2 linked regions of the Diceros bicornis minor genome follow. The protein of the gene in region 1 purifies or fractionates together with the protein of each later gene. This does not show direct contact. Links are inferred from orthologs where the notes say so. Each region holds a gene or a part of one and is shown in the gene's direction. Other genes may lie near its edges.

Evidence for each region.
Region 2: the proteins of CDC25A (region 1) and CCNB1 purify together in Homo sapiens (affinity purification with mass spectrometry; 3 studies listed by BioGRID, with this or other methods). This does not show direct contact. The link is inferred for Diceros bicornis minor from reciprocal best matches to the Homo sapiens genes CDC25A and CCNB1.

Annotation. Positions count from the first base shown.
Region 1 is NC_080741.1:49,426,260-49,438,205, reverse strand, and holds the start of CDC25A (M-phase inducer phosphatase 1), read left to right. Parts: upstream 1-7,169; 5' UTR 7,170-7,616; coding exon 7,617-7,786; intron 7,787-8,798; coding exon 8,799-8,872; intron 8,873-10,254; coding exon 10,255-10,297; intron 10,298-11,201; coding exon 11,202-11,238; intron 11,239-11,734; coding exon 11,735-11,836; intron 11,837-11,946. UniProt on the Homo sapiens protein: Tyrosine protein phosphatase which functions as a dosage-dependent inducer of mitotic progression. Directly dephosphorylates CDK1 and stimulates its kinase activity. Also dephosphorylates CDK2 in complex with cyclin-E, in vitro.
Region 2 is NC_080759.1:8,347,074-8,358,623, reverse strand, and holds the start of CCNB1 (G2/mitotic-specific cyclin-B1), read left to right. Parts: upstream 1-5,915; 5' UTR 5,916-6,027; coding exon 6,028-6,048; exon of another isoform or gene 6,049-6,087; intron 6,088-6,639; coding exon 6,640-6,810; intron 6,811-6,901; coding exon 6,902-7,060; intron 7,061-8,698; coding exon 8,699-8,881; intron 8,882-10,139; coding exon 10,140-10,298; intron 10,299-10,511; coding exon 10,512-10,748; intron 10,749-11,025; coding exon 11,026-11,166; intron 11,167-11,550. UniProt on the Homo sapiens protein: Essential for the control of the cell cycle at the G2/M (mitosis) transition.

The DNA of each region.
Region 1 (11,946 bases):
CACCTCTCCCACTCATTCAACATGACGAAGACCTCCATTTGGCCATCTTCAGTGACTTCCTTCCATGCATGTCTGAACCATGGACTGGCCACTAGCTCCATTGCAGTTCTTTCCCCAGCCCTGCCTTCATGGGCCTCTCTTGCTACATCCAATCTTGAATGCTAGTGCTCCCCAGACACAGTCTCCTAAAACATTCTTTGCACACCCTCAATGGACATTATCATCCTCATGCTAATGATCCCCAAATCTCTCTCCTGAGTGCTAACCCCAGACAGTGCACAAGCACAAAACTGAGCTCATCAAATTCCTCCAAGAACCATGCTATTATTGAAATAAAGTTACCATCCACCCAAGAGCTTAAACAATTACCTAGGAATACCTCCCCGTCCCCCACCTTAACTCTCAGTTATCAACATCCAGTGAACTCTACCTCCTACTGGGCTCCGAGGTCACTCCCTTCCTCCTGTTGCTGAGGCCCTGCTTTGGTTCAGGATATCGTCATTTCTTATCAGGACTGTTTGAACATCCCCTCCTTGTTCCTTAGGCTTCCCCACTCTCCCCCATTGATCCACCCTGCAGCAATTCTGATCCTATTATCAACCATACTCCACACCCTCCACTGTCCACAGAATGAGGCCAAACCCTCAGCAAGCTCTAAGTCCTTCAACAACTGTCCCCTTCCTCACACTTGGGTCTCTCACAACAACTCCCATGTGCCTATTCTAGAAGTAGTTCCCAGAAAGTGCTGTTCTCACCTCTTAGCTTCTGAGGGCTCTTTCCTCTCCTTAGAAAGCACCCCCACTTCACCCCACCCCAAATTCCCCTTTTCCAGTGAGCTACACCTTCAAGCTTCAGCAGCTTTAATCTCCTTTGGGAAGTCCTCCCTCTCCCTCCCCTCCAGCCTTCCCCATCTCCATCTCCTGCCCTCCTCCAGGTCCCACCAACCCTCCACAAATGGCAGCCATTATCCTGGTGATGGTTCCATTACTATAAGGATCATTCTGAGAGATTGCATTCGTCAAATGTGAGCCCCCTGAGGGTAGGAATTGTGGCGTTTTATTTCAAGTGCTAGGTTTGTCCCAGTAAGCAATGAATAAACATTTGTTGAATGATTGCATGCAAGAACAGGGATGTTGAGCCAAGTATTAAACTACATAAAACAGGAGGAGAGGGAAGAAATTTTTCAGAGATTTAATGAAGAAAATATTTGAAATTGTCAGGGAGGGTAAAATTCCCCCTTCTATCCTTCTTGTGTTCTTACAGCTGGACTAATAATAAAATTGATATAAAAACAGATTGATAGGAGAAAAATACAATTTAATGTGTACATGTTGGAGATCATAGAGAAATGCTCAGAGAGTAAACAAAGCAGGCAATATATATATACATCTTTTGCACAAAGAAACAATAAATTTGTGAGGAATGACAGGACAAATAAACTTAGGTTTGGGGTACATAATTAGTGAGGAATTTGAGTAGAGTTTAGGCTTGAGGTAGTAAAATAGTAAAAGTAACAGGGTTTGTTTATATAGGCTTTATGGCCCTGAATTCCCTAGCTCTGGTGATAAGGATGTCTCTGCCTCCTGGTCTGGGGAGGGTACCTTTCACATGGGAGATTTAGTTCCTGCTTTCAGAGGGAAAAGAGAGAGGAGGGTCAAAATGCTTCCTTTTTTTTTTTTTGCATTGGCTGCTTCTCAAGTAACTTTAATTCAAAATAATCAACATGCCATTGTGGGATATTTTGGGGCAGCCTGCCCTGGGCCCCAACAACATAGTTGACTGGGCAGAGAGGGAACCACAGACCATGGAACTGTGACAGCACAGAGGCCTAAATAGCAGGGGTTTCTAGAGAGACAGGGGGTCATGGCTGGTGCTGGAGTGCTTATGAGGGAAAAAGGAGAGGAAGCAGGAGAGGAGGGTGCCTCACTGTAAAGGATCTGGTGTTCTGAGCCAAAGGTTTTGGGATTCAATGAAGCCTGTCAGCTGTTGCCTTTCAAACTGTAGGTCACAGGCCATCATAACATTAATTTTAGGGGTTCTTAGCCAGGATTTTTTAAGTGACATAAAATAAAGTAGAAAATAATGTATTGTATGTAGTATGAGTAAATGACGTATTGAAAACTTTTTATATGTGTATTCTGAGTCATGGGTCCAAAATGTATGGGATCCCCTGCTTTAAGCAATGGGGTGGGTACAGGAAGGGATTTCATCAGTGGGTGGGAGGAGGAAATCAGATTTGCATTTAGAAAGATCATTTGGGGTCAAGGCTTGGGAGGCCAGCTAAATCAGGGCAGCAGCAGGGAGGAAGAATGGGTAGACAGAGGTGCCATTTCCTGCCAAGGGCACTAGGGAGGGTAGCAGGTTTGGAAGTAAACAGAGAAGTGGACTTGAGGCAAGGAGAGTTTGAGTTGCCAGTAGGTCATACTTGGTGAATTCAGTCAAGGGGCTGGAATTCAGGACAGAGCTTCCAGTTGAGATACGGACTTGGGAGTTCTGTGGGATAAGGGAGGAGGCTGAAGAAGTACTGGGAGTGGGTGAAACTGTTCAGGAAGCACTCGTGAAAGAATGGGGGGGCTTCTGCTAGAAAAGTTCATCATCCCAGAGCAAACATTTAGCCACGAGACAGGACTTACCTGTGCTCAGAATACCATCCTACTCAGCACAATCCATTTCAAATACAAATTATGTATTAGAATAATGTCTGCGATCTCTGGTCTTCAATGGCCTTAAAAGTCATACAGGGGCCAGCACCATGGCTTAGCAGTTACGTGCACGCGTTCCACTACTGGGGGCCCAGGTTCGGATCCCAGGCGCACAGGGACGCACCGCTTGTCCGGCCATGCTGTGGCGGTGTCCCATATAAAGTGGAGGAAGATGGGCACAGATGTTAGCCCAGGGCCAGTCTTCCTCAGCAAAAAGAGGAGGATTGGCATGAATGTTAGCTCAGGGCTGATCTTCCTCACAAAAAAAAAAAAAGAAAAAGTTTGTTTGAGAGAATATGTACATAGACTTGTTAGCATAGACACACTCTAGGAGACCACCAAGGAGGAAAACAGGGTAGCTTCGGACCGAGATAGGAGCAAGATTTCCTCCATGCGTTTTTTTGTTATTATTTAAATTTGTACCATGTAAATGGACTGCCTACTCGATAAATAAATAAATAAATAAAAGTCAAAGCTCCCCAGATGTTTGCAATGTAGAACCAGAATTTGGGAACCTCTGATTCCAGGTACTCCTCCTTACCTCGACAGTACCTAAGACACTGGTTATATAGCTTCCTGGGCTATTTATTCCATCTTGAAAAGCTCTGGTAGTTCTGGCTTTCCTTCTTAGTGTTAAACTGAAACCTTGTAGCCTCCAAGGAGGCTCATGCTGCTTCCTGTAACCATGCAGAATAAATCCAATCCTACTACTAGCACAGTTGTGTGAAAGGAGAATGGGCACATGTAAACCATTGAATGGAAAAGGAATGTTTCTTTTTCTACAGAAAATAAGCCTAATAAATTGATGGGAAATTTTTTTTGTTGTTTTTTACTTTTTTTGTGTGTGTGAGGAAGATCAGCCCTGAACTAACATCTGCCAATCCTCTTCTTATTTGCTGAGGAAGACTGGCCCTGGGCTAACATCCATGCCCATCTTCCTCCACTTTATATGGGAGGCCGCCACAGCATGGCTTGCCAAGCGGTGCATCGGTGCGCGCCCAGGATCCTAACCAGCGAACTCCGGGCCACTGCAGCGGAGCGCGTGCACTTAACCGCTTGCACCACCGGGCGGGCCCCAATTTACTTTTGTCTTTAACAAGGGGAATACTTTCTCCAAATAAAATCTACAGGGCCCTGTGATATATAATGCAAATTTAAAAGCTGAGTTTCTGTGGCTCCCAAGGAGTGGCAGGGAGGAGCCAGGAGCCCTGCTGGGGTACCTCACTGCTTGAGAGACACAGTTGTATTCCACCTCTCTCACCACTCACAGGTAGAAACTGAGGCCTACTTCTCCCCCTCTGCATCATCTCCTCCCTAGTTCAAGTTACCACCATCTCACGGTAGGACCTTGTGATCCCCTCCAAACTGGTCTCCCCAGCTCTACCATTGCTGCTCTCTAATCAGTTCTCCACTCTGCAGCCAGGGTTATCTTTTCAAAATGTAAATGTAAACCTTTCAATTGTTTCCCATTGCCCTTGAGATAAAGTCCAAGTTCCAGAATGTTTTCTACAGCCCCTGCAGAGTCTGGGCCCTCCCCAACCTCCTCTTCTTCCACTGTTCTCTGCCACACACAGGGGACGCCTTCTAGCCTCAGAGCCTTTGCTTAGGGCCTGTCCCTCTGCCCAGAACACTCTTTCTTCCACTTTCTAAGGATTTATCCTTCTGGACACCTCCTCAGGGATTCCCTGATGTACCAGACCAGATCAGATTCCCTTCTTAAACACTCTTAAAGCATTCACACTTTTTCTTTGCAGCATGTATTCTGTCTACATGTACTGAGGGGTCCCCTGAACCAGGTAGTGGGTGGTACTATAGTAAGGAAAAGAAAGGCAGGTCCCTACCCTTTCAAGTTTATAGTCATTTGGGGGTACTCACCCTGATTAAATACTCACAGAAACAAATGTAAACATGCAGTGCCTGGAAGGTGGATGATAACAGGGGAATGTATCAGCCAGGGTGTCTGAGGGTAAAGCTTACCTGGGAAAGGTGGGTGTTAGCTGAGTGAAGTGAGTATGGCAGTGAGGAGGGCATTCCAGGCAAATCTCCAAGGAAGCACTGACCCTATCTGTTTGGACCTAGCAAACTGGTAGGCTCTCAGTAGACAATGAATGAAGGAGTGAGCAAAAATTTATTTGCCCCAAAGTAGAACCAGATTAGAACTCAGACCTTCCAATTCACAGTGCAGGGCTCTTCCCTTCCCCTAGTGCTGCTCCAGGATTTTGGAGACCATGCCTAAGTGAATGAGGAAAAGAGTTTGGTTAAATTACGCTTTTCCTTTTGCTTCCATTTCACAATTGAAGATGCCCAAACATAAAAATCACCCTCAACACTTCAGTCAACCTTTATTTTTGTGTGTCTGTGTGAGGAAGATCAGCCCTGAGCTAACATCCATGCTAATCCTCGTTTTTTGTTTTTTTTTGTTTGCTGAGGAAGACCGGCTCTGAGCTAACATCTATTGCCAATCCTCCTTTCAACTCCCCCCAAAGCCCCAGTAGATAGTTGTATGTCATAGCTGCACATCCTTCTAGTTGCTGTATGTGGGACGCGGCCTCAGCACGGCCGGAGAAGCAGTGCGTCAGTGCGCGCCCGGGATCCGAACCCGGGCCGCCAGTAGCGGAGCGTGCGCACTTAACCGCTAAGCCACGGGGCCGGCCCTCAGTCAACCTTTAAGAAGGAAAAAAAAACAATGGTTCTCTGACATTTCTTACACCAAGTTTTTATTTCAATACTTGGACTTGCTGGTGGAAATACTCCAGTATGTTAATCCACTTGGGCTGATCCCATTCAGGGAATGTCCAGCAAGGAGGGAGGGCTTTCCATTCCTTTATTTGACCGTGAAACAATTATTGACTGTATACTTACAGTGCACACACATACAAAAAGTTCAAAATGTTGACAATTGTTTCTCTGAAGATGGTAGAATTACAGATGATTTTTAAAATTACGCTTATCCGTATTTCCTAAGGCTATAATTATTTTGTATTATTTGCATAATACAAACCTTTGAAAACAAAAGCTTTTCAAACAAATATTTAATAAGTTTAATGGTAGGTCTTACGCAGAGGTAGTAGTCATAATCTCTACCAAACACCTAAAATAAATATACAATTTGGAGGCCAGCCCAGCGGTAGAGAGGTTAAGTTCACACACTCCCCTTCGGCGGCCTGGGGTTCACTGGTTTGGATCCTGGGGACAGACCTACTCACCACTCATCAAGCCATGCTGAGGCAGAATCCCACATAGAAGAGCTACAACTCTACAACTATGATATACAACTACGTACTGGGGCCTTGGCGAGAAAAAAGAAAAAGAGGAAGACTGGCAACAGATGTTAGCACAAGGCCAATCTTCCTCAAATAAATAAAGAAATATACAATCTAAATAAGCAGAGTGTCTGTTCTAAACATGCTGTCTAAAGACAAGTCCTCTTGCAGCCTGATTGCTGTACCAATGCCCCTCTACTAAAATCATTTATTCTAGGAGCTGCCACTGGAGCAGGGGATATAAAAATAAATACAGTCACCTATAAAACGGGAATAATTCCGCTCAGTGTTGTTGTAAGGATTCAATGAATTAAGACAGATAAAGCACTTGGAACAGTGGCACATAAGCACTATATAAGCGTTAGCTATTATTATATTTATGGTACTGCTAAATAGGAGCAACCAGTGGGGTACCAAAGGGTGGCAGAGAAGGAAATGATTCTGAGAAAATATAATAGGAGCTAAAATGGAAGTGCGCTAAGATTACTGAGGCCCACGGCCCAGGCCGGATTGTAGGGTCAAGTCTTGCCGTCAGCGGCTTGTGGTCGCCACAGCCTGCAGGATCTTTGATGGCCCGCTGGACAGAAGCGGTGGACAGGAGTGTTAGCGCCCGGAACTTGGGCCCTGCTGTCGGGAGGCAGAGCCCAGTCCTCGGGTCATTCAGTTCCCTCCCTCGTTATAAAACCGCGGCTGAGAGGCCCAAGGCGTAAGAGAGGGGTCCACACTACTGCACGGTTATAAGTCGAGTCACGGCTGGGTCCAGCCGGGTCCCCAGTGGCTAGCACAACCTTCTCCATCTTCCACACTCCCTCAGCCTATGGGACTCGGGACTCCCCGGCCCAACGCGGGTTGGAGGTCACCTGACCGCTGCGTGACGTGCAAACTACGCTTCCCAGCATGCAACGGGTGAAGAGGCGCCTTCCGGTCAGGCCGGAGCCTCGCAGGTTCTGCCGGGAGTTTTCATTGACCTCTGAGCTCCTTCTCGTTCCGAGCAGCTCAGGTCTCCTCTAGGCCCCGCCCCTTTCTGAGAGCTGGTGACCTCGCGGAGTCCCGCGAGCTGCTTCCTTCTTCCCCTCTCATTGGTCCAGTCTAGCTGCCATTCGGGTGCGAGGAGGAGAAGTTACTTACTGATTGGTGGATTCCGTTTGGCGCCAACTAGGAAAGGGGGCGGGGTAGTGGCGGTCCCCAGTGAGCAGCTATTACCGCGAAAGGCCACCTTGGCAGCGACAGCCAGAAGGAGGTGAAGGTCGGCTTGGTTCTCTGCAACCTCGGGCTGGGCAAGGGGGTGAGAGAAAAGCGAGCAGAGTGTGAGCCCAGGCGGTTGACTCGCGGCTCTGGCCGCTCTCCCTTCCTGACCCTCCGCGTTTGTTTGGATTTAATCTTCAGGTTGCCGGCGCCCGCCCGCCGCTGGCCTCGCGGGGTGAGAGGGGAGCACCCGTGCGTGTGGCTGGCGCCTACCTGGTCCGGACACTCGCCCGTCCGCGCCGCTTGCCCGCGGCAGCCGCGTCCCTGAACCGCGACATCGTGTTTGTGTTTGACCCGCGGGCGCCGGCTAAGGGGCGCGCGGCCGAGGCCAGTGCCGGCGGGGCGGGGCGGGCGCGGCGGAGGCGGAGGAAGAGGGAGCGGGAGCCTTGGGAGGCTGGGTGCCGCCATGGAACTGGGCCCGGAGCCCCCGCATCGCCGCCGCCTGCTCTTCGCCTGCAGCCCCCCTCCCGCGCCGCAGCCCGTCGCAAAGGCGCTGTTCGGCGCGCCAGCCGCCGGGGGCCTGTCGCCTGTCACCAACCTGACGGTCACCATGGACCAGCTGCAGGGGTTGGGCAGGTGAGGAGGGACCGGCGAGCAGTGCCGCAGGCCGCTGGCCTCCCAGACGGCTCTCGGGGAGATCAGGCCGGGAAATGGGCCAGGAGAGGGGCGAGACCTGCCGCCCGCATGAGGCGGGGGCTCACCATGTGCACCCTCCCCATAGGCGGAATGTTGGGCGGGAGAGGCCGTTCGGATCCTCCAAGACCGCCCTCAATCCCCAAGCCAGGCCCGGTAGTGGGTGAGAACGGCCACGGCTCCCCACCTTCGCCACCTCTTTCGGATTGCCCTGTACTCTTCTGTCCCTATCCCAGGAAGCTCTTTGACATCTAGCCCCACGGGGGAAAAGCAGGCCCTTCTAGGCGCTCACTTCCACCCTTTGCTGAACCACCTCACAGGATCGTAGTTTCCTGTGAGCTTTGTTCCTTCTCAACAAAGAGAAGTGGCATTTTCTTTCCTGGCGTTTGCGCAAAATCGTCGCAGTCTCTCGCCCCGTGCACATTCCTTATGTCCACCCCGGTGGTTTCCGTAATAAGGCCAGGCCTTTTTACTCAACTTTCCGTTCTCAAAAGCTCCCTAAACTTTTCCTTGTAGCAACAAATGCATCCTACAGTGTTTCTGGTGAAGCTGTTTTCCCTTCAATCTTGGACATCCCATTTTCTAAGTAAGCACGTGACTTATACGTTTTCCAACCTCTGGAAAGCAGGAATTTGTCCTATTCATCTTTCATCCCAGCTCCTAGCACAGTACCTAGAACACATGCTCTCATTTCAGGAAATACTCCAACAATCATCATAGTCATCCTGTCCTACAATGTGACCCAGGCCATGCCCACCCACTCCTTTCTCATCTCCCTTTATGCTCTAGTGCTAACTGGCGGTTCTGGGTGGCAAAGTGTTCTGTGGTGTGGCCTGGAAGTTATGATGATTGATGGCAGCCTGCCTACTAGCTAACCTCATGGCCTGTCTCCTGTGTGTAACCTTTTAATTATGTCCTAGAAATATATAGAGAGAATTATTTCTCTTGGTTTCAGTGAGTGTGAACAGCTACTGGAGGTGAAAAACAGCAGTTTGCAGAGAATGGGTTCCTCCGAGTCAACCGATTCAGGTATTCCTTTGGTCTTCGATATTTATCATGTGTCTGCTTTGTGGGAGCAATACTTGGAATTTGCTGAAACATGCCCCTTCACCTAAGAACTTAGTTTGGTGAGTAGTTGAGACAATAAACAGAGAAGTCATGGCATTGAGTGACTAATACCCTTAAGAATAGTACAAAGGAGTCCCAGTGGCAGTTTATGAAGAGAAGAAACAAGTGTCTGCTAGAAGGTGGTGTGTGTTTGGTCTTGAGGATGCGTAGTAGGGTAAAATTAACCATACCACTGTAAGTGGCATTCCAAAAATCTCATTGGTTAAAATACAGGGTCAAATTGTTGGCATCTGAAATATAATGAAATTATTTCAGTGAGCCTGCCTGCTGTGGAGGAAATTTGCCAGTGCATTTTATTCTAATTTATAAATTCATGTTACTGCAGAGTTTATCTGTATTTGCACATATGCTTTAGGTTAGGAAACTGCAAGAGCAAGTCTTCAAATGTAGGCATAAGAACTAGGGATAGGATTCTCATTTGTGGCAGTGTGGCAAGGGAGAATACCAGTCAGGAGCTAACACCTAACTTCCTGTAAGGTTATATAGACATCATGGAGGAAAGGTATGTGCTAGGCAGGCACTGGTGGGTCTGGGCCACGCTGAGCAGTGTCTCCACCCTGCTGCCTTTGGTGAGATGGTCACCTCACTTGGTGTTATTTTGTTGAAGTCAATAAATACTTGCCTTGCTTGTCAGATGACATAATTGTATTTTCCAAACCCCAACATTGTGCATATGATCAGACAAAATAAAATACTTGAAATCAAAACTATTCCAGAAAACTGGTACCTATTCTTTCCATGGTTGGAACTCACATTTAGAAAGTTACCTGGGTAACCTCTAGCTGAATAACCAAGCAATCATGAGAAGGTTTGGTTTAATTCACACTCTTGAGGGCCGGCCCCGTGGCTTAGTGGTTAAGTGCGCGCGCTCCGCTGCTGGCGGCCTGGGTTCGGATCCTGGGCGCGTACAGACACACTGCTTCTCCAGCCATGCTGAGGCTGCGTCCCACATACAGCAACTAGAAGGATGTGCAGCTATGACATACAACTGTCTACTGGGGCTTTGGGAGAAAAAAATTAATTAATTAATTCACACTCTTGATGGTATTTGCAAGGAAAGGGGGATTAGTAGATATACTATGAAAATATTAAGACTTGGGCAAATATAAAGTTTTTGACAATCAAGTAGAGATACAGCTTCAATTCTGGCAAAAGTCCAAGCCATAAGTTTCTGTTGACTGGCTTAAAGAAACAGTACTAGTAGTTTTATTTATTTGTTTATTTTAATAACAAGATGGTGTTTCATGTATTATTTCTTGAGAGATTTTTTTAATTTCCCACAGGCTTCTGTCTGGATTCTCCTGGACCCTTGGACAGTAAAGAAAAGTATATATTCACTGCTTTTAAATGTTTGTGCTTAGAAAAAACATTTCTTAATTTTTTTTTTACATTTCCATGACATTTATTTCATAACACAAAGTGTGTAGAGAAGTTACCTCTTATCCATTTTTTTTATTTATTGTGAAATTTTTGTTGTACATTATAGAAAAAAATGTTTCTTAATTTTTTAATGAAATTCTTCATGCTCTGGACTGGAACTCTAGATTTAGCTGTCCCTAGTAAGCCTCCTGGATCTATATCCTATAAACAGTCTGGTACCTTTTGAGAATGGGTAGTTTGTGTCAGCAGTTTTGAGAACTTCTCTTTCTTTATTTTAGCTTTAATTTTGGTGTTCTTTTTCAGTCTCACCCAAACCCTTGCTCCACCTTCTGACATCATAGCCTTAAAATGAGCGTATTTTTTTGTGTGTGTGTGAGGAAGATCAGCCCTGTGCTAACATCTGCCAATCCTCCTTTTTTTTTTTTTTTTGCTTAGGAAGACTGGCCCTGGGCTAACATCCATGCCCATCTTCGTCCACTTTATATGGGACACTGCCACAGCATGGTTTGCCAAGCGGTGCGTCGGTGCGCGCCCGGGATCCGAACCCATGAACCCCGGGCCGCTGCAGCGGAGTGCTCGCACTTAACCGCTCGCGCCACCCAGCCGGCCGCAAAAATGAGCGTATTTTAAGAGAAGACCTGGGCTTGCCTTTTTCGCCTAGAAGCCCAGCGTTGGGGGTGCTCGTGAGAACAGGACAGCTTCAAAAATCTGTTTTTTCATCTTGCCTAAAATGGGAATATATTTGTCTCCCCTACCCCCACAAAGTATAGGTTAGACACTATGCATCTGCTAATGTGAAAACCTCTTTATTTGTTTCATTCTCATTATTTACCTTCTGATCTCATTGCAGCCTTGAAAATCCCATGAAGAGAATAAATTCCCTGCCTGTAAGTTAGTTCCCTTTTTTGTTTTGAGCTAATACCTATTATCTACCCCTTACCTACCACTGTGACCTTGATAGTAGACTGTAATTTAGACAGTGAAGATTAAGGAAAACCTAGCCTTGTAAGCAGTCAAAACACTGTACCTAAAGCAACTTCAATAATGGCTGCCTCTTGAGGGCTTTTGCTCCATCTCTAACACAGTTTTGTCAAACCAGGAGGGGTTCTTTCTGTGCAAATGATGTTATTTTGGGGTTGATTTGACACCCTAAATCCCTGTTGAGAGGGCTGTAGATGTTGTGAGGTTAGGCGTAAAGCCATGTGGTGAGAACTGTGTTCTGGCAAGGTGGAGCCCTGGCACATTTACTGGTTACCTGCTGCAGTGTGTGAGGAGCTAGTCCCCCCCCCCACCATCTTTTTTTTCTTGTTGTTTTCCTTTAGAGAACTGAGTTTCCATTGAACTTTTGTTTATGTACCCTAATTCCTTTTTTCACTTTGATAGCAGAAGCTCTTGGGGTGTAGCCCAGCGCTGAAGAGGAGCCATTCCGATTCTCTTGATCATGATGTCTTTCAGCTGATCGACCAGGATGACAACAAGGAAAACGTGAGTGTGGCATCAATATACTAACCTAGGGCAGAGGAAAAGCCCACAAGTGTCAGTGGCTCACAGAGAAGTGGCTGGGCTGCTTTCTAAACCTTCACCAAAGTCATGAT
Region 2 (11,550 bases), on another chromosome or scaffold:
ACAGAGTTTTTGGATGATCAACGGCACTTTTCATCTACTCCCACCTCTGACTCCACCAAACAGCTGACTGTAAAGTACAGTTGGGCACCAAGGCAAGACTTAAATTGTGCTTTCAAGTTTCTGCTCTGTACTGTACCCCATGTTACTCAGCTCCAGTCTTTAGAGTCTCAAGCTACTCAGCCTTCTGGAAAGACTACTCACTACACAAAGACTGCCTATTGTGCAGAGTAACCCTGGGAGTGGATTGTGGAAGAGAATCCTACTCCAACTTCCAGGACTAGCATGAGCCCTCTCTCATTCTCCATCACTTTCTCTCAGGCCTCCTCTTTTATTACTTGCACTTCCTCTTCTTCTTTCCCTTTTATCTGCCTCCATCTTCATGCCATCACTTAACTTTGCAAACTGAAAGTCCTTTGAGGACTAAAATGAGGCTTTGTAACCAAGTTCCCCTTGCTAGACTGCTATAATTAATCACAATAAATAGAGCCTCAGTGCTGAGGAGACGTTTTTGCATGAGAGCCAATTCAAGAAAAATTTAAATACATACAGACCACATTCTAAATATAACAGTTTTTCACTATCTTCTCAAGTACTAATTCTTTAACACTCTTACCTCTGTAAACCAATTTGCATGTCCCAACGCCCACACACATACACCTCTAAAGATTTAAAGATTCTTAAATTTCAAAAGGAAGAAAGCACAGCAAGAGATGGAGAGACAGTCTCCTTTGCTTGATACCTGGAGCCAACCATGCCTCAAGCTAGGTACTCCTTGGACTTGTCAGTTTTGGGAGCAAATAAATTTCCTTTGTTACGTAATCCAGTTGGAGTTGGGTTCTTATCACCTGCAACAAAAAGTCCTTATAATAGTTATGATGCTAATGAAGTTCTTTGTCCTCTTAACCAAAGTCACCCTGCCCATAAGAGATGAAAAAGGGAAGAAAATAAAGGGCTGATGGGAGAAGGAACTCTGTCTAATGTTATCATATTGTAATAATTTATCTTCATATCTGTAAGAATGTGAGCACCTTAAAAGCAGGTAACCCTAGGCACAGTGTGTAAAACATAGTTAAAGCTCAAAAAGTATTTATTGATTGAATAAACTTGATTTATTCACAATTTAAAAAAAAAAGATTTAAGGGCCAGCCCCTTGGCATAGCAGTTAAGTGCGCACACTCCGCTGCTGGCGGCCCGGGTTCGGATCCGGGGTGCGCACCAATGCACCGCTTGTCAGGCCATGCTGAGGCCACGTCCCATATAAAGTAGAGGACGATGGGCATGGATTTCGGCCTCAGGGCCAATCTTCCTCAGCAAAAAGAGGAGGATTGGCAAGGATGTTAGCTCAGGGCTGATCTTCCTCACACACCAAAAAAAAGATTTAAAGATTCTTTTGAAATCTATGTACTCTTACGTGTACATAGAACGTTCTTCAAGGATACCCAAGAACTCTTCAATACATTTTTGGTTGTGGAGGAGGACTTACTCTTTATGGTATAACCTCCTTGACTGTTAGATGTAGCATCTAAAACCTAAAAAAAAAAAACAGCAAAGCTACCATCAACAATTCAAGGAACAGAGGTAAGAGGTTAAAGTATATACCAGCTCTACAAATGGGACAGTCAGTGTATATGATTGAAGAAGTTATTTCACGATGTTTCTCTATATCCTGGGTCTTCTTTTTCAACTCCTGTTTCTATCTCCATTTTAGTGTGAATGTCCCTGATTTTCAGTCAACACAATCAACCACTCCCCATCTTTAACTTCATTTTTTTCAGTTACATATGTGCATAGTTTTAAGTTAGTTCTTTAAATCTTATAACAAAATCAGCACACCTCTGATCAGCAGCCCATTCCTGCTGTCCAAAAGGAACCATTTTCTATTCTTTTAACTGTGTGATTCACTGTTTACAGTCATAATTCTCAATAATGTCCTTATACTGCTATTTTTTGGTTATACAGTTTTAAAAATTACCCACTAACTTCTTACAATGGAAGATGAGGGTTTAGCTCTTTTATACCACCACCAGCACACATGTACACTCATATATATCCCTCTCTCTCCCCACTCTCTCAATACAGTTGAATCATAATTTTTGGTTAAATCAGTATTCAGTGTTTCCATTACTGTGACTGTATGATTTACCATAGTGCCCTATGTACCCTATTGTGATTACATTTCCCTTTTTTCTTTTAACAACTTTTAGTTTGCTCCAGATTTAATACTGCCTTGTTTATTTTCATTTGCCTAGTTTTTTTATGCCTATCACTAATTTATCTCCAACTCTACCAGAAGTGTAAATCTCTTCTCAGTACGCTCAAATACATCAGGTAATTTATCAACTTCATTGTTTCGCTTGGCGATGTCCCACTTAGAGCCAACCATCCCTGTCAATCTCCAGCGTGCACTGACTGCTCTCTATGCCTACTGAAAGGTGCCAGCCTAGGATCATCCAAGTCTTGACAATTTCCTTTGCCCCTCTTCTGTGTTGGAACTACTGTTTCTTAGATCCCACATCTTCCTCTTTTTTCATTTTCATCCTTGTTTTGGGAGACTACACACTCCAATAACTTCCTAAGAAAGGGTACACAGGAGATAATTTTTTAGACTTTGTAAATCTGAAAATGCCTTTATTCTACCTCATGGTTGTTTCGTGGTTTGGCTTGGTACAGAATTATAAACTGAAAATCATTTTCCCTCAGAATCTTCTAGCTTTCAACATTGCTGTTGAAAGTCCAATTCCTTTCTGATTCTGGATCCTTTGTATGCTGATTTTGTTTCCTTTTAGGGTCTTCCCATTATTCTTAATGTCATATGCCAGCACAGTGTGCCATGGGATGAGTCTTTTGTTCACTTATTGTGCAGGGCACTCAGACGCAGTTCGGAAAACTCATGTTGTTCACTTCTGGGAAGTTTTCTTATATTATTTCTTTAATAATCTCCTCCCTGCATTTTCTCTGGTCTTTTTTTCTGGAACTCCTATTAGTTGTATACCAGACCTTGTAGGATGATCCTCTAATTTTCTTATCTTTTCTATAGTCCATCTTTTCGCCTTTTTTCTGGGAAATTTCCTTGACTTTCTCTTCCAAACTTGCTATTGCATTTTTAATTTTTGCTATCATATTTTTAATTTCCTAAAGCTCTTTTTTTTTTTTTTTTGGTGAGGAACATCCACCCTGAGTTAACATCTGTTGCCAATCCTCCTCCATTTTGTATGTGGGTCGCCTCCACAGCATGGCTTGACAAGTGGCATAGGTCCACACCCCGGATCCAAACCCGTGAACCCAGGCCCCCAAAGTGGAGGGCACCGAACTTAACCACTATGCCACTGGGTCAGCCCCTCCTAGAGCTCTTTGTTAAACTTGCTTCTGGATGCATTCTTATCTTTTATTTCTCTGATGATATAGATGGTAACTTATTTTTATTTCTTAGCTTTCTACTTTTAGAATTGCCTGTTACCTTGGAGTTTCTTTTTATGTTTGTTTGTTTTGGTCTTTTTCTTTCAAGTTGGAGGATTTCCTCAAATGTCTGGTGCTCCCTAGATGGCTATTAATAGTTAAGAGTAAGACACTAAAATATTGATTAGAAGCTCTGTGTCAGTCTGTAAGCATGTCAAGTACTGAGCATCACTTTAAGAGTGACTCAGCCTTTTCACTGGACACTCTAACCATCAATATTTTTAAGACTTTTCTCTTGGGCTGGTCCATTCCACAGAGAAGCATGCTCTTGTCTCATTTAGGAGGATATAAATTCAGCTGCCTGCATTTAGGGGACTGAGTGGGCGAAGAGAACTGGAGGTTTCACCATTTGGTATGAAGAATTTTACTTCATCTGAACTCCAGAGTTCTTTTCGTTTGGCCTCTCCAGAACATAAAATAAACCTCCAGTCATCTGCCAGGACCAGGAAGAGGCTGCACTTTCACTGTGCGCAGATGTGCAGGAGGGAATCGACTAAGCCTCTTTCCAGCTCCACCGACACCAATTTCATAGGTTCCTGGTGCCTCCAATTCCTGAGACTCGATGGAGTCTATTGCATGAACCAGCTTGCTTCCTGGCTTTCCACCGCTAGCTTAGATTTCAACTTTCTTGGGCTGTCTGATACTTCTATTACGATTCTTCAATGTGCTTTCCTGCCTCCAAAATGTTGTCGGTATTGTCTCCTCACCCATCCTTGAGAGTTTTGCAGTTTTTTTTTAAATCCCTTTACTGTCTTCAGGAAAAAGAGAGAGAGAGAAATGTGCATATTCAATCTGCCATGTTAAACCACTATACCCTCTGTGAAACACTGCCTTCCCTTTTCTGAGACACCACTATTTGGTCTCCCACCTCTCTGGTGTTCTTGCCCAATTTTCTTAACTGGCTTCTCCTGCTCTGTACAATCTTTACATATGAAGGGCCCCAGGGGTTGCTCCTGGGCATCTACTCTTCTTTACAGTTCTCTAGATGACCTCATGTGTGTGAGGGTTTAAATACTATCTAGAGCAAAAGGAGGCTTTAGCTCTCACCCTGACCTCTGCCTAGTGAACCTCTCCTCTTGCATATCTCTAAGCATTCCAAAAGTAGCAGAATTTATCATTTCCTATCTAAACCTGCTACCCCCTAAAAGCTGCTCATCTCTTAGTCTTCTCTGTTTGTTACTCAAGCCAAAACTTCAGTCATCCTTGATTCCTTTTTCGCTCACTCCAAGCATGCAAACCATCAAGATCCAGCAAGTCTACCTCCAAAATATATCCAGAACCCATCCCTTTCTGTCTAGCACTACTAGTACCATCCAAGCCATCATCTTTTGCCTGGCCTCCCACAATAGCCTCTTAATGGCTCCCCTTGCTTCTCTCCTCCTGCTTCCCCTCCACCTCCCCACCTACACACATTCTCTCCACAATGACTAAGGTAATCTTTTTGCAAAACAGATTATGCCACACCTTGGCTTAAAACCCTGAACGTGGCTTCCACTGCACTTATGATACCCCAGACCCCTTAGCTTGGTCTACAAGGACTTATATAATATTACCCTCTCCAATCTCTTTAATCTCATCTCTACTCTCCCCTCTGCCCTATATTCAAGCCACACTGGCTTTTCTGAACATGACAAGCTCATTCCTATCATTGGGTTTTCACAGACTCCTTCCTCTATCCGAAATGTTCTCCTTGTCATTTAAGCCTCAATTTAAATGTCACCTTCTCAGACCATCCCTGACCACCAAGTCTAAGTTCGAAATTATTTTCAAATAAAAAGCTAAAACAAAAAGATTGGCTTTGGTAAACAATTTGAGAAGTAATCTGGCAGGTTAAGAACCTGACAATATTCTTGAGACAATTAGTGTTGTGGAAATATCACAGATCCGGAAAAAAAAAACAAACCTAAGTTTGGTCCCTGTGTTACTAATGTGTGATCTTGGGAAAGCCACCCAAAGCCTCTCCGAGCTTCAGTTCCTCCACCCGAGTGTTGGAATGATCAAACGAAAGAAGGTACATATATAAAAGCCTTTCCTCTGTAGTAAAGTGTGTAACAATAAGTAGGACTAGAGCCATAACACGTTCTCACTTTCACAAACTGCGGCTGCTCCACTGTCACTTTCCCGAGATACAAGGCCGTCCCCTTGGCTAGCTCGGGGGGCACACAAACTTGCCTCTCCAGGAGGCCCACACGCGCACCACTCGCCTATCCAGGTGCCAGCAGCAGCTGCGCGAGAGCGCAGGCGCAGAGCCAGGCCACGTGAGGGCCTGGCCAGGCTCCCCGGGGCCGCAGCCTCGCTCTGGCCCGGCCCCCTCTCGAACCACTTCGCGGGATCTCCATGGAAACGCATTCTCGCAGGAACCGGCAGCCGCCAATGGGAAGGGAGCGAGTGCCGCGAACAGCCCAATAAGGAGGGAGCGGCGCGGGGTTTAAACCTGAGGCCGGCCCGGCTCCTCCTGGCGTGCTGCGCAGGAACGGCTGTTGGTCGGTGGTGGGTTCAGGTTCCTGGCTCGTCGGGGGCTCCGTTGCTCTGCTTCTCCCCACTGAGCTGCTGCCTGGTGAAGAGGAAGCCATGGCGCTCCGGGTCACCAGGGTGAGCTGCTGCGGACGGTGAACAAACGCGGCCTTACTGGTGCGCTGCGTGTCCTCGCCCTATCTCGCCTTCCGGAGGCTCCCCCCCGCCCTCGGCAGGAGCGGACCCAGGCAGCGATCTGGGGAGGTGGAGGGGGGTCGGTGGGCCTCTGGCATGGTGGGGGAGTTTGGGGGACGTACGGACAGAGAGAGGAAGGTGAGAAAGAGAACTGGACGGGCCTTGGATAAATGTTGGGGAGGCAAGTGGAGGGTTGACGGGAAACCAGGGCCCCTGAGTGAGCTCCCACCGATTGCTTAACCCCCTTCCCGGAACGAAGGTGCCTGCAGTTGAAGGTTTTTCGGTTTTCTTTCAGATGTAAATTCGTGGTATTTTAGGGCCGGCGGGGACTAAACCTCGATGGGTGAAAGAAGAAGTTCTGGGAGGAAACTAACTTGTCACAGCCATAGCGTAGACCCTGGGACCCCGGTTTCCCTTGGACCCATTTGCAGCCGCCTTTCCTTCCGAGAGCCTCTCTCTTGTCCCACCTTAATTAACCCTTGACTCACTCTAACCTGGCTGGGCCAGCTCTCAAAGTGCTCTTGCTTCTTTCAGAACACGAAAATTAATACTGAAAACAAGGCGAAGGTCAGTATGGCAGGCGCAAAGCGCGTGCCTGTGGCAACTGCTGCAGCCTCCAAGCCCGGGCTGAGGCCAAGAACAGCTCTTGGAGACATAGGTAACAAAGTGAGTGAGCAGCCGCAGGCCAGACTGCCTCTGAAAAAGGTAACTATCTCCCGATTCAACTTACCTGAGTCCACCTTCTAACTGTGACTCTTGATGGAGGAACATTCCATTCTCTCCTTTTCATCCACAGGAAGCAAAAACTTTAACTGCTGGAAAAGTTATTGCTAAAAAACTACCAAAACCACTGGAAAAGGCGCCCGTGCCTGTGCCAGAGCCGGAGCCCGAGCCTGAGCCAGAACCCGAACCTGAGCCTGTTAAAGAAGAAAAACATTCTCCCGAGCCTATTTTGGTAAACTTATTGTGCCAGTTTAGAATCTGTTGATTGTTTGTTGCCCCTCGTTTTACTAATGCATGGAATAGCATTTAAATAAATACTAAAAATTGTAACATTTATCCAGTGCTTAGCAGGAGGTAGTTTCTGCTAAGGGCCTTACATGCATTGACATAATCTTATACTCTCTTACCTAGTATTATTACCTCTACTTTTTTTAGATAGTGGTTTAGAAAAGTATTAAGTATCTTTTCAAGGGTCACACATCTAATCAGTGGCACATATTGGATTCAAAACCTGGCTGTCTGGCCTCAGAACCTGTGCTTTTAATCGTTTTGTTCTATTGCCCCTCCTTCGTTAATGGTATTGAGTAGTAGCTGCCTGGACCAGTGATTTTGCTGTCTTTGGTACAAGCCATCACTGTCCAATATTTGTTGACTGAAACACAAATTATTCTCTTGAATCTTTTTTTCTCCCTAATATGACCACTGAATAATTAATAAGCCTGTAACATTGCAATATATAAAGATGTAAAGCAGAAAGAAAGTGTAGCTCTTCAGAGAACAGGTAAGAAGATGAGTTAATGTGTAGCCTCAAAAACTAAGAACTTTTTATTAACTATCAGGTATGTAAATATATCTACTCCTGTGAAGGAAAATCAGACCATCTAAAAGAGGCTACTTTGCTGAAGTTGCAGTGAACTACATTCTGAAGCTCTAATTTTAAAAACTTAGTTAAAACTTCTTGGGAAAATATCTGTAAAAGTCATTCAGCCTAGCTCCTTATATCTGAGGGTAGGAGATTTGAGGCTATTGCTTTAGTATTGACCTTCTGGACATAGCACATGAAACCTGTAGCATGCAGTCTTTAATTGGCCATACCAAACCACCTGAGGTTTCCTTGAAAGTCCCATACTGATTCTTGCCTTGGCTTTCCCACTTATTAAAAATGCCTTTCCCACCTTCTGTCTCTTTTAGCTAATAACCTTTGCATCCTGCAAAACAGCTCAAGCATCAATTCCTGAAACTCCCTAACTTCCCCCAACCCCACCCTTGTTCCTAGAATCAGTCTCCTTACTTCATTTACTTATTTCTTCTAAATTCAAAGCCCCTTGAGGACACCATAAAGCCAGTGCCTAGCACAGAGCTTGACTTGAAGAAAGTGTTCCATAAATGTTTGAACAATGGGGTGACTGGAGCTTGAAGAAAATGGTTAATGGTGATGAAGTCAGTTAATCCTTGGTAGAACTTATGTTCTCCTGAGCAGTGAGAAGCAGTCCATGTTTTCACAGAAAGTCTAAAGACTGACTTGTCATTCCTTTGGATTAACTTCACATGTTGCTGATAAACAGATTAACTACTTATCAGTTTCCTTTGGAGGAAAGTCTAGAATATGAATTTGCTTCTCTGTTTTACCTGTTAGTGTTTAGGTTCTGTTCTCTTCAAATTGGCTCAGTCTAAGTTGGCATTTCAGTTTTCATATTAATCACTTCCTAAAGAGAAATTGAATACATTTGAAAAGAAGATCCTTTTCCATTAAGGAAATGAATTACATGTCTGTTCAGCAGATGGTCTCTTGAGTTGGTACCAGTAATCTGACCTTCATGCCCAGATTGGATGCTCTTGCTATTATTTCAGAAGGTCTCTCTGTTTCAAGGTTGATACTCCCTCTCCAAGCCCAATGGAAACATCTGGATGTGCCCCTGCAGAAGAATATCTGTGTCAGGCTTTCTCTGATGTAATTCTTGCAGTGAATGATGTGGATGCAGAAGATGGAGCCGATCCAAACCTTTGTAGTGAATATGTGAAAGATATCTATGCTTATCTGAGACAACTTGAGGTCAGTATTATTAGTCTTTGTTTTTTCTAAAGTGCACCTAGCTTTATTAAAGATATTTCCATTAACAGTTTACAATAGTTCAAGGATGACGTGAGCAGCATTTCTTAACAGTAGATTTCACTTTCAAAATCTCCTTCATAGAATACCAAACATAAAAAGTTGCTAAACAGACCAATGAAGTCTTTATTTTCCATTTTGAACAGGGAGATTTCCAAGTGAGAGCAGATACTACTATGGCTCTTTGTAATGGAAAGTCCGCAGATTGAAGGATATATTTATATCCATCACAGTTAGGAGCCAGCAAGTCCCAAACATTGGGTTTAAGAAGGCTAACAGGCAGGAGGTGGATGGTAGTGCAGAAGATGCTGAAAAATTACAGCCAACCCCAACACATGGCATTTTGAGTGAATGTGGCTGATGGGTGTGCCATATCAGGGAAATTGTTGTTTGTGTCCAAGAGGAATTTTCTTCCATTTCATCCCACTTCTGAAACTTTCTATTAGTGGCATTTGCCCTTTCCCCCCAAAACTAAGGAAGCATTCTGTATGCTAACAACATGAGCTATACAGTTACTAAATTGACCCAATTGTTGGTTTATAATGCATTCTCTTCTCTTGGCATCATTAACATCTTCAGTTTCTTGCCTGGTTCTTTTGGGGATCTCCATTTTCTACAGGATTGTCCTGCAAGAAGACTTCTTTGCCAGGACCTGCTTTGGGTTTCTTCTCCCTTTTTAAAGTTTGTGTTCTAACTGTGGAGGAGTGGGCTTAGCAGATGTATGTGCTGGTCCTTGATGGTTCATTCTTCTCTATCTGTGGTGTTTTTGGGGTTTAAACCCTGGAGCAGGAGAGTGGTAACACATTAGGTTCCAGCTGATCTGGGAGCTGCTGCTATTTTCTCTACTTCATAAAGCTCAGGTTCTGGGTTTAGAGTCTTAAGTGAAAAGATCTGAGATGATAGTATGGCATCTTTATTTGGGAAGAAGTGAGTGCGGCGTGTGGGCCAGTAGCAGTGATGGTTAATTGAACATAGATTTGCCAATATGAAAAACCTGTCACATTTTCCTATTTAATGTTGGCTTTCTTCCTCAGTGATAGAGCTGTTTATAGTGACCATATGAATAATTAAGCTTAGAACTATTAGAGATTCTAAATGCTCCACAGCTATTCTGTAGTGACTGATATTTTTGGTCAGAAATGTCACGTGGAGTCTTGCTTCTAAGGATAATCCAGCTTTTTTTTTTTTTTTTTTTTTGCAGGAAGAGCAAGCAGTCAGACCAAAATACCTACTTGGTCGTGAAGTCACTGGAAACATGAGAGCCATCCTAATTGACTGGCTAGTGCAGGTTCAAATGAAATTCAGGTTACTGCAGGAGACCATGTACATGACTGTTTCCATTATTGATCGGTTCATGCAGGTGAGCATAATTCAGTAATTGAGGGTTCTTCCTTCCAGGGTCCTAGCATAGTCAGAAGAAACAGATGTTTTCAGCTAAAATCTGTCTTGGTGGAGAGGGTGTCATTAACTGAGATTTTGTTATGGGAGTAGGTCTTTCCCACCTCTCATTCATAGCTCTGTGTCTCCTTTTTCAAATACGTGTTACTTAATCAAGGTGAAATTCCCATTGCAGAATAATTGTGTGCCTAAGAAGATGCTGCAGCTGGTTGGTGTCACTGCCATGTTTATTGCAAGCAAATATGAAGAAATGTACCCTCCAGAAATTGGTGACTTTGCCTTTGTGACTGACAACACTTACACTAAGCACCAAATCAGACAGATGGAAATGAAGATTCTAAGAGCTTTAAATTTTGGTCTGGGTCGCCCTCTACCCTTGCATTTCCTTCGGAGAGCGTCTAAGATTGGAGAGGTACAGATTTCTTGAGAAATCTTTGATAATGGTACATTAGGGAATACTGCTAACCAAACGGATCTAATTCAACTGACTTATATACCTGTAAGTACATGAGGAAGGGATAAAGGTGTTCTTTATTTCCAATCAGGCTGTATATTATTAAAACCTTCCATGAGCAATTGCATTTGAGCGTTTATAGACAAACATTTGTAGTCATAGTTATGGGCATCTCGGATATTGCCAAGGCAGAATTCTCTGACAGAAGCTCAGTGACCTGTCTGCTTTGTTCTAGGTCGATGTTGAGCAACATACTTTGGCCAAATACCTGATGGAACTAACTATGTTGGACTACGATATGGCGCACTTTCCTCCTTCTCAGATTGCAGCAGGAGCTTTTTGCTTAGCGCTAAAAATTCTCGATAATGGTGAATGGGTAAGCTCTGTCCCACCGACCTAGGTTACCCTAAGCTTTTAAATTGTAAATAGTATTTGCCTGAAGACAGAACCCTTTTCATTAAAGGGCAATTCAAATGGTTCCTAAATACGGGATCTGTTGAGGGAATGATTAAAAATGGTATCCTGTTTGTGATGTTTTCATAGAATGTTTCCATTTCATTACCTAATTTCATCTTTCTACTCCTTTGAGACTCAAAGGCAGAGCAGTTACTACTTACAAATGGAGTAGCTCAAATAGGTCAAATGACATACTAGAAGTTCATTCATATTCATTGATTCAACAAATATTTCTTCTATGTGCCACATGCTGCCCTAGGAATAGAACTAGGAGTGAGAAAGTCAGCCTCAAGGATCTTGGAGT